Linked DNA regions of Elephas maximus indicus. The protein of the gene in region 3 interacts with the protein of the main gene of each other region in a biochemical or structural test. Links are inferred from orthologs where the notes say so. Each region holds a gene or a part of one and is shown on either strand. Other genes may lie near its edges. The genes, in order: BIRC3, OTUD1 and RIPK1.

Region 1 (3,600 bases), on a different chromosome or scaffold from region 3:
TATAACTAATGTCACTGAACAACTTGTGTAGAAATTGGTAAATGGGAACCTAATTTGCTGTGTACACTTTCAGCAAAAACACCATAAAATATTATTTTAAAAAAGAAAGGAAAGAAAACCCTACGGAATACAGTTCTACTCTGACAAACATGAGGTGTCCCTGAGTCGGAATCTACTTCATGGCATCTGGTAGTTAAATACATTTAAAAAGGTGCTGTTTCAATTTTATTCTAAAATGTGTTTACATTTTGCAGATCCTTTGCAACTATGACAATATATTAAAAAAAGGTGTTAAGTTAAAAATGTGTGAGGGAATATAGAGTTTTTAAAAATTCTTTTGCTGAGTATATGATTAAAAATGTGTGAAGACCACAAAATGTTTTAGATAATGTTAAGGGTGAATTGAAAATGCTTTAAAAAGTCTTGAACTACGTAGGCTCAAAAGTAGGTTGAAATTTCCACGATAGATAAACAGTCTTTCAGATATAATTCCAACTCGAACTCTAGCTGCTCTGAGCAGTTTCCTAATCCAGAAGGTACCTCAGTCCAGCTGGATTCTGTACTGAGCGGACTGTGAGCCCTTCTGATTTCCGAGGATGATGAAGTCCTGAATAACGTATGTGGGTTGTACCTTTGGCTCATAACTGTCTTTGGTCTACAGGGCCTATTGGATCTACAGACTCTCCCAGAAGCCAGAGAAACCAGACGAGCAATCCCTCTGTTCCCTGACATAGCTAAATATACTGCTTAGACAGGCGAAGTTGATGCAACGGTGGCAGTGCAGTTAGACTCCCAGACTTCTGGGTTTACACGAAAATGTCACTGAAATTAAGAGACTTCTTTTGTGAAACAAAAAGGCTAAAAGGAGGATTTCTGAAAAATAGCCAAGTCTGCCCTGGGACAGAACTTTCTGGGACAGAACAAAAGTAAAAATAATCATAAAGATTTCACAAAGTTTCAGTTTTCTTTTAAATACTGGAAAACCTAACGCTTTTTACATGTAAAGTGTTTGGGGCTTGAAGGGGTAGCGGTGAGGACTGACCTTTTCCAGTTAGGCTGACCAATGATCATCTCTACTCCGCTTATCAGGGTTTCCTCTGACCCAAGAGCAATGAAGCAAAGGTTTTTTCAGTAAATGCCACGCGGATGTGCCACTAGTTAAGAAACAGTGACGCTTTTAGGGCCATGGAAATCCCCGACCGGGTTTGCCAGGCTACTGATTAAGGGAACTATATGTGGTTATTACCGCCGGAGTTCCCCTAAGTCCTAAGAGGAAAGCACCAGTTTACATGCAAACCAGTGAGGAGGAGGGACAAAAGTCGGGGTATTTAAAAGAGCGCAAGGCTCCAACCCGCGCGGAACCGCCCCGGCGGCAGGTGTCACCGAAGCAGACTAGCAACGTCGGTGCTGGAGCGCGTCCACCTCGGGAGAGCAGGTTGGTGGCGACGCGACCCGGGCGGCCGTGAGTGTGCGCGCGTGTGAGCACGCGTGCAGGCCCCACTCCCACCCGGCGCGGGTAGGACCCAGAGACCGAAGCCGCGGCGCCAGGGGAGGGCGGGTTGCGCGGCGCCCGGCCGGGCCTGCTGCTCCCCCGGGGGCTGCAGGCAGCTGCAGAGGGCGAAGGTCAGTGGGGTGGCATGCTCATCAAACACTGCCCAGGCCCGAGAGGCCGGCCCCAGATCAGCTCCCGAACCCAGAAGGGCTTTCAGATAACAGAGCTTTCAGAGCGGGTCCCCGCCAGCCCGGGAGCCTCTTCCTGGGCGTGCCCCGCGCGCTCTTCCGGCCGGTCCCATCCGCAGACGCCGCGACTCTGCGCTTTCCGCCTCGGGGAGGCGCCCGGCTGCAGGGTCCCGGGGCCGGTGCGAGCTGGTCCCTGCGCTGCCCTAGCCGAATCGTACCCCCGATCCGCTTACCTCTCGGGAGCTCAGTGCCAGCTCTACTTTTGGGGTGAGCCAGTGGAATGGTGAAGCTTTGGCATTTGGCTTAATTCGATTATCAAGAGGTATCACCGGGTCTTTGAGGTGACAAATAAGCTTCGGGACAGAGCCTCAAGCAGATCTTTGGCACGGGAAGGACTCAATCAAATATTCAATGAACAAATAGAGGAATGTTTCCCAAGTGGTCGCAGAAAGACCAGGGGGGTTTTTTTTGGCGGGTTTCCTGGTTATCAGCATGGAAACCCAGCAGCGCTCTTAGATCTGTTAAATTGCCGAAGGTATTTAACTGATGTTTTTTTTTAAGTAACTAACAATAACATTACCTTTGTTAGCTAAAATTTATTGCTAACGTTAAGTGTTGCTAACAGTACTATAGGAGCCCTGGTGGTGCAGTGGTTAAGAGCTCGGCTGCTAACCAAAAGGTGGGCAGTTGAAATCCACCAGCCTCTCCTTGGAAACCCTATGGGGGAGCTCTGCTCTGTCCTATAGGGTTGCTGTGAGTTGGAAGCGACTCCACGGTACCTAACAACGACAGTATTACGCGCTAGGGCAAGTTCCGGAAACTTTTATGAGTATTTTTTGCGTTTAGTTCGCACGGACTTAGGAGCAGGTACCACGGTTATCTCCAAGTGACAGTAAGGAAACAAGGCTTATATAGGTTTACCTGTTTAAAGCTCTACCCTTAGTAAGGGGGCACAGAATGGCATTGGAAACCCAAGATGTCTGACTCCAAAGCCTGATGTTAAACCAGACTCAACAAATTTTGTGGTCATTAATGTAACATTGAAGTCCTTAATACCCTGCAAATGAGGGTACTGTAGTCATACAGGGCTCAATCAAGTTTGCTTACATTCACTTCAACAAACAGTCTTTAATAGCTACATACATTATAGGCCAGGCCCTGTGGATGCTGGGGGGCAGTAGAGATATAACATACTTCCTGCTCTGAAAGCTCTCACAGCCTAGGAGGAGGCAGAAAAAAAAAGGCACATTTACTCTCCAGTGTCAGAGATATAGATATTCTGTGAGAGCGATGGATATGCCGAGTGCCCACGAGGGTGAGGATGCCCAACAACCCACCACAAATATTAGAGTAAGAAGAGAAGAAGCTGGAGACCTGAGTCAATTTGAGGAAAAAAAAAAAAAATCTGTTGCAGTGGAGTCAATTTTGACTCATAGTGACTGTACTAGAAAGGAAAGAGGAATTCTAATAGTGGAAGAATTCAGAGAAGCCAAGGGAGGAGAGCATTTCAAAGAGGGTGTGAGTCCCAGTGTCAGATGCGAAAATTTCCATTGCTTTTGGCAGAGAAACGGTGGGAATCATTAGTACAGAGAGCAGTTTCAAGTGGTGCTGACTAAAGCCAGTTGTAGTGGTTTAAGGAGTAAATGGGAGGGGAAAAAGTGGAGATATTAACAATAATCAGTAGAAGTTTGCTTGGCTATGAAGGGAAGGTAAAAAAAAGAGTAGTGGCTAGAGTGTAAAGTGGGATTGAAAGAGGATTTTGTTAGTTTTCATTTTAAGCTGAGACAGACTTAAGCATGATTGTTATGTTGAAGGAAAAGATTCATGTTGAAGGAAAAGATTCAGTAGATACATTAAAAAAATGAGGGGCGATAGGGTTAGGAGTAAGACTTCTGAGGCAGTGGGATAGGATGGGATCCC
Region 2 (3,819 bases), on a different chromosome or scaffold from region 3:
AGCCCTATGGAGTACAGGTCCACTCTGACATACATGAGGTCGCCAGAAATTGGTGTGGGCTCCACTGAGATCTTTTTTTTCTTTTTTTGATGGTGACATAATCTCCAGGTCCAATTTGAACTTTTTAGACCCTGCTGATTTAACATTTGGAAATCCTGGTGGCATGGTGGTTAACTGCTTTGGCTGCTACCCAAAAGGCTGGCAGTTCAAATTCACCAGGCAGCCCTTGGAAACTCCATGGGGCAGTTCTACTCTGTCCTATAGGGCCGCTGTGAAGTCGGAATCCACTGGAGGGTACCGGGTTTTTTTTTTTTTTTTATTTAGCATTTGGTCAAAGCTTTGAAAATATGAATATTCTTTTACAAAGAGGGCAATACTAAGATAGTTCAGTAAAAATGTTTTCAATATCCTACTGTTTTTTTTTCCGGGTACTCCCTCTTCAGGATCCAATTCACGACTCACTCTACCCGTCCATAACCTATGAGTGCGACTGCACACTTTAAAAAGATTAAAAGAAAGGCTGTTTTAAGGGCTTCCTTTCGACCAAAGAACGCGCCAGCTGACTGGTAGGAGTTAGACAAGCCGCAAAGTTAGTTTCGTTTCTGCAGGGCAGAAACACCCTAGGCGGGCGGGGGGAACCACGAGGCTTTAGCGTTTTTACCCAAGAAACTAGGTCAAAAAGACGACAGTGGTGAACGCAAGCAGGAGTGATAGCCCAGGAACCTGCAGGGGACAAACACGTTTAAGGCAGCTCTGTCCTCCACACCGAGTTCGGAAGCCTCTCCGAAAAGCACGCTTTCAAAGCACTCTAGCTTGCCCCAGACAGCGCCTATCCCGCCAGTCCGCCGAGAGCGGTACAGCGCGGAAACCTGTGGCTGTGGCAGGCGAAGCGCTCCGCAGCAGTCACCCGGGCTCCGACCAGGAAGCCCACGGCCGAGCAGGCCATTAAGCCTTAGCGCTCCCCCGCCCGAGGCCCCGCGCGCGCGCCCGCCACCCGGCCCGCCAGAGCGCGGCGAGCTCAGCCGGCCACGCCCGTGACGTACGCCCAGCGGCAGGCGGGCGCGGGCCGGAGGGGGCGGGGCGAACCCTAGCGAGTGAATGGGGCGCAGCGACGAGCCGCACATTCCAGCGGGGCCACGTGACCCGGCCGCGCGGTCTGAGGTAAACAAGCCGCGGCTCCGCCCCCGGCCCCCTCCGCGCGCCCTGCACTGCTTCTCGCCAGCGGGACGCGCTCCAGCGGGGCGGGCGGCTTCCTCCGACAGTCCCCAGCGCCCGCCGCGGGCCGGAGCGAGGGGAGCGGGCACGGTGCCCCGGGTCTGCGGGCCGAGTGCGCCGGCAGGGGTCGAGCGCGCGTCGCCTCCCCGCCCCCACCGCACGCTGTGGCGCAGCAGGAATTTGGCGGGGACCCGGGCGCTATTTGCGGTTCTTGACGCTCTGCAGGAGGCTGCTGGTGGCCCTTCGCTCATCGCTATTCTCGGGGCACTGGGTCATAGCTCTCGGCCGGCAGCGACCGGCCCCCTCCCCCTGGCCCGGAGGGTGTGTCCCCGCACGGGGGCTCGCTGCGCCTATAAGGGTTGAGCGGCGGGTAGGGAGATGCAGCTCTACAGCAGCGTCTGCACCCACTACCCAGCCGGGGCACCGGGTCCCACGGCCGCAGCCGCCGCCGCGCCCGCCGCCGCCGCCCCCTTCAAGGTCTCCTTGCAGCCGCCGGGACCCGCCAGCAGCGCGCCAGAGCCCGAGACCGGTGAGTGCCAGCCCGCCGCGGCCGCCGAGCCCAGGGAAGCCGCCGCCGCCGCCGCCGCCGCCAAGATGCCCGCCTTCTCCTCCTGCTTCGAGATGGTGTCCGGGGCCGCCGCCCCCGCCTCGGCCGTCGCCGCCAGCCCGGCCGGCGGGTCCTGCAAGCCGCCGCTGCCGCCGCACTACACGTCCACGGCGCAGATCACCGTGCGGGCCCTCGGCGCCGACAGGCTGCTTCTGCACGGGCCCGAGCCCGGCGCCCCGGCGCCCGCCGCCGCCCCGCGCGGCCGCTGCCTCCTGCTGGCCCCGACGCCCGGCGCCCCGGTCCCGCCGCGCCGGGGCTCCTCCGCCTGGCTGCTGGAGGAGCTGCTGAGGCCCGACGGCCCCGAGCCCGCCGGCCTGGACGCGGCCCGGGACGGGCCCGACAGAAACTTCCGACTGAGCGAGCACCGCCAGGCCCTGGCGGCCGCCAAGCACCGAGGCCCCGGGCCGCCCCCGGGGAGCCCGGAGCCTGGCCCCGGCTTGTGGAGCGAGGAGCACCCGGCGGAGAGGAGCCCCCGGGGCTGGGAGACGGGCGGCGACTCTGCGGGCGCGGACGAGGCGCGGCGGCCCGACCCGGAGGCCGAGGCGCCCCCCACGAGGGGCGGCGAGGGCGCCCAGAGAAGCGCGGCGGAGGCGGGAATCGTCGCCAGGTCGGATCCCAGAGACGAGAAACTGGCCCTGTACCTGGCGGAGGTGGAGAAGCAGGACAAGTACCTGCGACAGAGGAATAAGTACCGATTTCACATCATTCCCGACGGCAATTGCCTCTACCGAGCGGTCAGCAAGACGGTGTACGGAAACCAGAGCCTGCACCGGGAGCTGAGGGAACAGACGGTGCACTACATCGCTGATCATCTCGACCACTTCAGCCCCCTGATCGAGGGGGACGTGGGGGAGTTTCTCATCGCCGCGGCCCAAGACGGGGCGTGGGCCGGGTACCCCGAACTGCTGGCGATGGGACAGATGCTGAATGTGAATATACATTTAACGACAGGAGGGAGGTTGGAGAGCCCCACCGTGTCTACCATGATCCACTATTTGGGCCCCGAGGATTCCCTAAGGCCTAGTATTTGGCTCAGTTGGCTCAGCAATGGACACTATGATGCGGTATTTGATCACTCATACCCTAACCCGGAGTATGACAATTGGTGCAAACAAACTCAAGTGCAAAGAAAACGCGATGAAGAGCTTGCCAAATCCATGGCAATATCTCTATCCAAAATGTATATTGAACAAAATGCATGCTCTTGAAATGTTTGAAAACCAACACCCTGGGAAAATTGCCTAAGTAGCTTGTGTTTGGAGAATTACACGAACTCAGAGTAATAGCACTTTTAAACTTCCTCGTAGATGTACTGTAGATGTAATGCCTTAATCTTGGTTTTTTTTTTTTTTTTTCCTGTTTTCTCCCCAGAGCTGAAGATTGCTGGGCACCTAAATGATGTTTTATGAGAGCTTTGGGTAATCCTACTGCTATTTATAATTTGCTGTATAAAGTTAGCACTACTTGATTTGCAAGCTAATTTCTCACAGTGTAAATTCGTTCATTCCTGGCAGTCTATTTTCTATAAAAATGTATTTTTGCACAACACTTTTAAAAATTGGTGTACCTTCATCTGTGACGTGTTCCGTTTTGACAAACAGCTTTCAGGCATAATTCCAGAGAAGTGCTTTATATGAAGTCTATCGTTTTGAACAGAGTTTGTGATTTAATAGTTATTTTATGTTGTTGAAATTTGGATTTTACAATTCTTAGATAATTATTTCAGATAGGTATCGATGAGTTCATGTTATCAGATTATTGGCCCATTCCATTTTGTTTAAACGGAAACAGATTTGTCGTTTTGGGATCTTTATTTTTCTAGAAATGGTCAGTCTTTTAAAGAAGTACTTAAGGGAACGTTGCGGGGAGATTTTTTTTTTTTTTTTTTTAGGGGTAGTACCAGCACTTACTTGAATGAGAGTCAGAGATTTGCAGATGGCAGAGTGATTCTTCTGTACTCTGGTTGATGTTTAAGTAGATTGTCTGGTGCTCTCAGT
Region 3 (3,819 bases):
TACATGTTGTACATAAGTTGATGTTCATAACCCAGGGGCTGCCTGTAGTCAATTTTGTAACCACTGAATATCTTAGGAAGACCTTGAGAGTAGTTTAATGAGGGATACCCAAGAGACACATAAACACTAACTGTAGGCATGCAAAGAACAGCATTATAAAGAATAGTTAATGACGGCACACTAGCTTGTGAAAACATGTTATGATAACCGATTTCAACTAATGATGTAACTGGGTCCATTTCAATGGAATCTGTTAGTGTTTCTGCACAATGGCTGCTATGCAAATGACTGTTAATTCAAAAATGGCAGTTAAATTTTTTTCCCACTGAAGTTAATAAGAAATTTCACAGATTGCTTCCCAATGCAGGGGCAAGTCTGAATACCAAAAGATTCATATTTACCTTTTAGTGGTCAATTTTTTCACCTAATTTATTTTTTCTTTATTTTTCAACTATGACCCTACATAACAAGCGTGTGACAGACAATGCTGGTTGCCTACCTATCTGCCATTGCGCCCCCTCTTCTTATTAACAGAAGCTGATTTTACTCAGGTATCCAACACAACCAAAAGGCTTCTCTTTAAGGTTTCTTTATTTTAATCTTCTCATGCTTAACCCAAGACAAACAGGAATTCTAAGGAAGAGCCAAATGATCAGTAAGAGACAGTAGGATTGAAAACTTTATATCAATTATCCCATCATGACCCAGTGAAATAAGTTCTTTACCATCATTCTTAATTTACAAATGAAAAAACTAAGTTAAGTGATTCACCCAGAATGGCCAATCAGGAATCAAACCTTTGTCCCTTCACTCCAATTTCTATCATCCATTCTCTAGTTTCTCTGGATCGCAAACAGTGACTTGTCTTTGGAAAAATCCAGATGCAGAGACCCAACCTGACAGCCTTGCTCACCTGTATGAGTCTGCTATAGTCAGAAACACAGGGAATGCACAGGCTAAATTCTAAAAACATGAAAATACATAGCTCAAAACTCAGCATTATACAAGTTAAAATAACCAGTTGCCACGAAGCTGACTCTGACTCATGGTGACCCCATGTATGTCAGAGTAGGACCGTGTTTTCAATTGCTGATTTTTCACAAGAAGATCAGACCTTTCTTCCGGGCAGCTCGGGGTGGACCTTCAACCTTTTGGTTAGAAGCCAAGCTCATTAACCACTCAGGTTAATATACATAGTCAATCACTTTTGCCAGAATAAAATATCCAACCAAAGCATGGGAAGCTAGATTTGTTTTTCAAATTCCCAGATTATATCAGCAGTGTTAACATGTCATGGATTAATAAACCCAAAATAGTAGCTCACCTAGTTTGGAAGTTGATAGTTTGCCAATTTTACTCAATACTCATTAACATTCAAATTCCTGGAAGTACAACAGATCCTGGGGCTCAACATAGTTTCAGAAAGAAGAAGAAAAAAAATTAATCATTACTGCTGTTGTTTTCAGGAAGAATAATGATGATACACTCCAAATCTCATTCTAGGCAAGCTGAATCCTCCCTTTTTTGTATAGAAGAGCCACAGTCTTCCACATTTTTAAACCAACCACAAGTCTCTCCGACTCACGCACCTCTACGCTGGTTACAAAAAGTCCACTGAGTACTAAGTTACTCAGTATTTCAAAGTTCACTCCTTGCCTTGGTGACTTCAGGAGTAAATCAGGAAGAATTAATAGTGATCTAAAGACCAAAAAAAAAAAATTTTTTTTTTTTTTTTAAGACCCAAGGCTTGCTCCAGCGTTCTTTGATTATAATAGCCCCGTGCTCTGCCCAATATAAACAAGAGCTCTGAACACAGAAGAGCCAAAGAAATCAACAGACCCCGGAGCCTTGTGATTCTGTCAAATGCTTAGGAGAGGATGATGCAGCGTGTACTTTTCCGAACGCTGACGAGATTTTGGAGCACTTCACAAAACCCAAAGCCACGACGACAGAAGATTCCTTCTAGGGTTCTCACACTCGCTCTCTTGTTGCTGTGGCTGTTGACCGCTCCTTTCCCATCTGCCAGCTCACGTCTAAGATAAAGAGAAATGCTGACGTCTTTGCAGCCTGTTGAGGCTCCCTGTGCGACAGGCCCTTTCCAAGGGTAAGTGAGCAGTCCCAGCCAAAGACACCTAAGGAACCCTGTTATGGCAAGAGCACGCGCTACTCTTAATGATCCTGCAATAACACCCTGCATCGCTACCAACACAGCACAAGTAACAACCACAGCGTCTGTTCGCAGTCCCATCGAGATGGTCGCCCCAGACCAGGTCGCGGCCCTGATCCGGGACTCGAGCCCACACCAACACTTCCTCCTCTGAGGAAGGGGCGCGCAGCCCTGGCCGGCCGCGGACCCCAGGGCGCGTCTCGCACACCCGCCTTCCGGGAACGCGCGCCCCGCCCGCGCCCGCACGCTGGATTCGCTTTCGTTTTCGCCACCAACTTCCTCCGGCCCGAGTGGGGAGAGTTAGGGGTCGCTGACGCGGCGGCCTCTCCAGAGGGCAGCAGGGAAGGGAGCCCAAACCCCCAAAAGGGGCCGCCCTGATATAGGGCTCGGGGGACGGGACCGGCCCGAGGAATGACCGCCGTTCACTCAGCGCCGCCCCGCTAGGCACGCTCACCGTGCTCGGCTCCTCGCGGGCCCCAAGGCCTGGCCTTGACCACTGCGCACGGGCGCCGCGGGCTGCGGGCCGCCGTCTTCGATTTGCGCTTCGCAGGGTAGCCAGGTCCAGAGGCCGCTCCGTGCGTGTCGAGTGTCGGCCGCGCCCAGGGGTACTCAGGCGGGAGGCGTGGACCACTTGCAGCTCCTACGCTGCTCCGCTTAGTTCTCCTCCTGATCCTTTTCCACCTCTGGCCTCTCCTTCCTCAGCAACTCAACTTCCTTCTCCTGATCTTCCTCCTCCTCCTCCTCCTGCTCCTCCTCCTTCTCCGGCCCCTCCTCCTGCTCCAGCTCCTCCTCTTCCTACTCCAGCTCCTCCTTCTCCACCTCCTCCCCTTGATCCTTCTCTTGCTTCTCCTTCACCTACTCCTTTTCTCACTCTTCCTCCTCCTCCTCCTGCATCTCCTTCACCTGTTCCTCCTTGTCCTCCTGCTTCTCCTCCTGGTCTTGGTCCTCCTGATCCTCCTCCTGCTCCTCATCCTCCTCCACCTGCTCCTCATCCTCCTCCTGCTCCTCATCCTCCTCCTCTCCTCCTGATCCTCCTCCTGCTCCTCATCCTCCTCTCCCTCCTCCTGATCCTCCTCCTGCTCCTCATCCTCCTCCCCCTCCTCCTGATCCTGCTCCTCATCCTCCTCCCCCTGCTCCTGGTCCTCCTTTTGCTGTTGGTCCTCCTCCTGCTCCTGATCCTCCTTCTGCTCCTGGTCTTCCTCCACCTGCTGTAGGCCTCCTCCTGCTCCTAGTCCTCCTCCTGCTCATGATCCTCCTCCTACTTATGGTCCTCCTTCTACTCATGATCCTCCTTGACCTTCTCCTCTTCCTTCTCCCCATTTTCTTCCTCCTGCTCCTGGTCATCCGACCTGCGCGGGAAGGAGGGAAGTGGACTCTGGCCCTACTAGCAGCCAGTGGGACAGGAGGAGATCTTGAGGGAGGAGGGGGGTGATACCCCTCATACATTCCCAAATGTCTTTTCACCACCACTCTGAGATTGTGCCCCCAGATTGAAAATCCCAGAGCACTGTCTCTCTTTACTTTTAGAGATCCCCTGTCAGCTAAAGGATGGCGATTTTAGTTCATGTTAAGGAGAGTTGAAGGGCCAAAGAAAAAGTTACCAACTCATAGAAGCCTCTGTGACATTGAAGAGGCGCTTGGCATAGCTGGAG

Evidence for each region.
Region 1: of the proteins of RIPK1 (region 3) and BIRC3, one has a biochemical effect on the other in vitro, tested with the Homo sapiens proteins (5 studies listed by BioGRID, with this or other methods). The link is inferred for Elephas maximus indicus from reciprocal best matches to the Homo sapiens genes RIPK1 and BIRC3.
Region 2: of the proteins of RIPK1 (region 3) and OTUD1, one has a biochemical effect on the other in vitro, tested with the Homo sapiens proteins (2 studies listed by BioGRID). The link is inferred for Elephas maximus indicus from reciprocal best matches to the Homo sapiens genes RIPK1 and OTUD1.

What each region holds. Positions count from the first base shown.
Region 1 is NC_064825.1:18,277,904-18,281,503, reverse strand, and holds the start of BIRC3 (baculoviral IAP repeat-containing protein 3), read left to right. Parts: upstream 1-1,305; 5' UTR 1,306-1,435; intron 1,436-3,600. UniProt on the Homo sapiens protein: Multi-functional protein which regulates not only caspases and apoptosis, but also modulates inflammatory signaling and immunity, mitogenic kinase signaling and cell proliferation, as well as cell invasion and metastasis.
Region 2 is NC_064822.1:32,369,087-32,372,905, reverse strand, and holds the start of OTUD1 (OTU domain-containing protein 1), read left to right. Parts: upstream 1-1,496; 5' UTR 1,497-1,593; coding exon 1,594-3,030; 3' UTR 3,031-3,819. UniProt on the Homo sapiens protein: Deubiquitinating enzyme that specifically hydrolyzes 'Lys-63'-linked polyubiquitin to monoubiquitin.
Region 3 is NC_064819.1:43,623,465-43,627,283, reverse strand, and holds the start of RIPK1 (receptor-interacting serine/threonine-protein kinase 1), read right to left. Parts: upstream 2,903-3,819; 5' UTR 2,622-2,902; intron 2,612-2,621; exon of another isoform or gene 1,840-2,611; intron 1,401-1,839; exon of another isoform or gene 1,325-1,400; intron 634-1,324; exon of another isoform or gene 500-633; intron 1-499. UniProt on the Homo sapiens protein: Serine-threonine kinase which is a key regulator of TNF-mediated apoptosis, necroptosis and inflammatory pathways.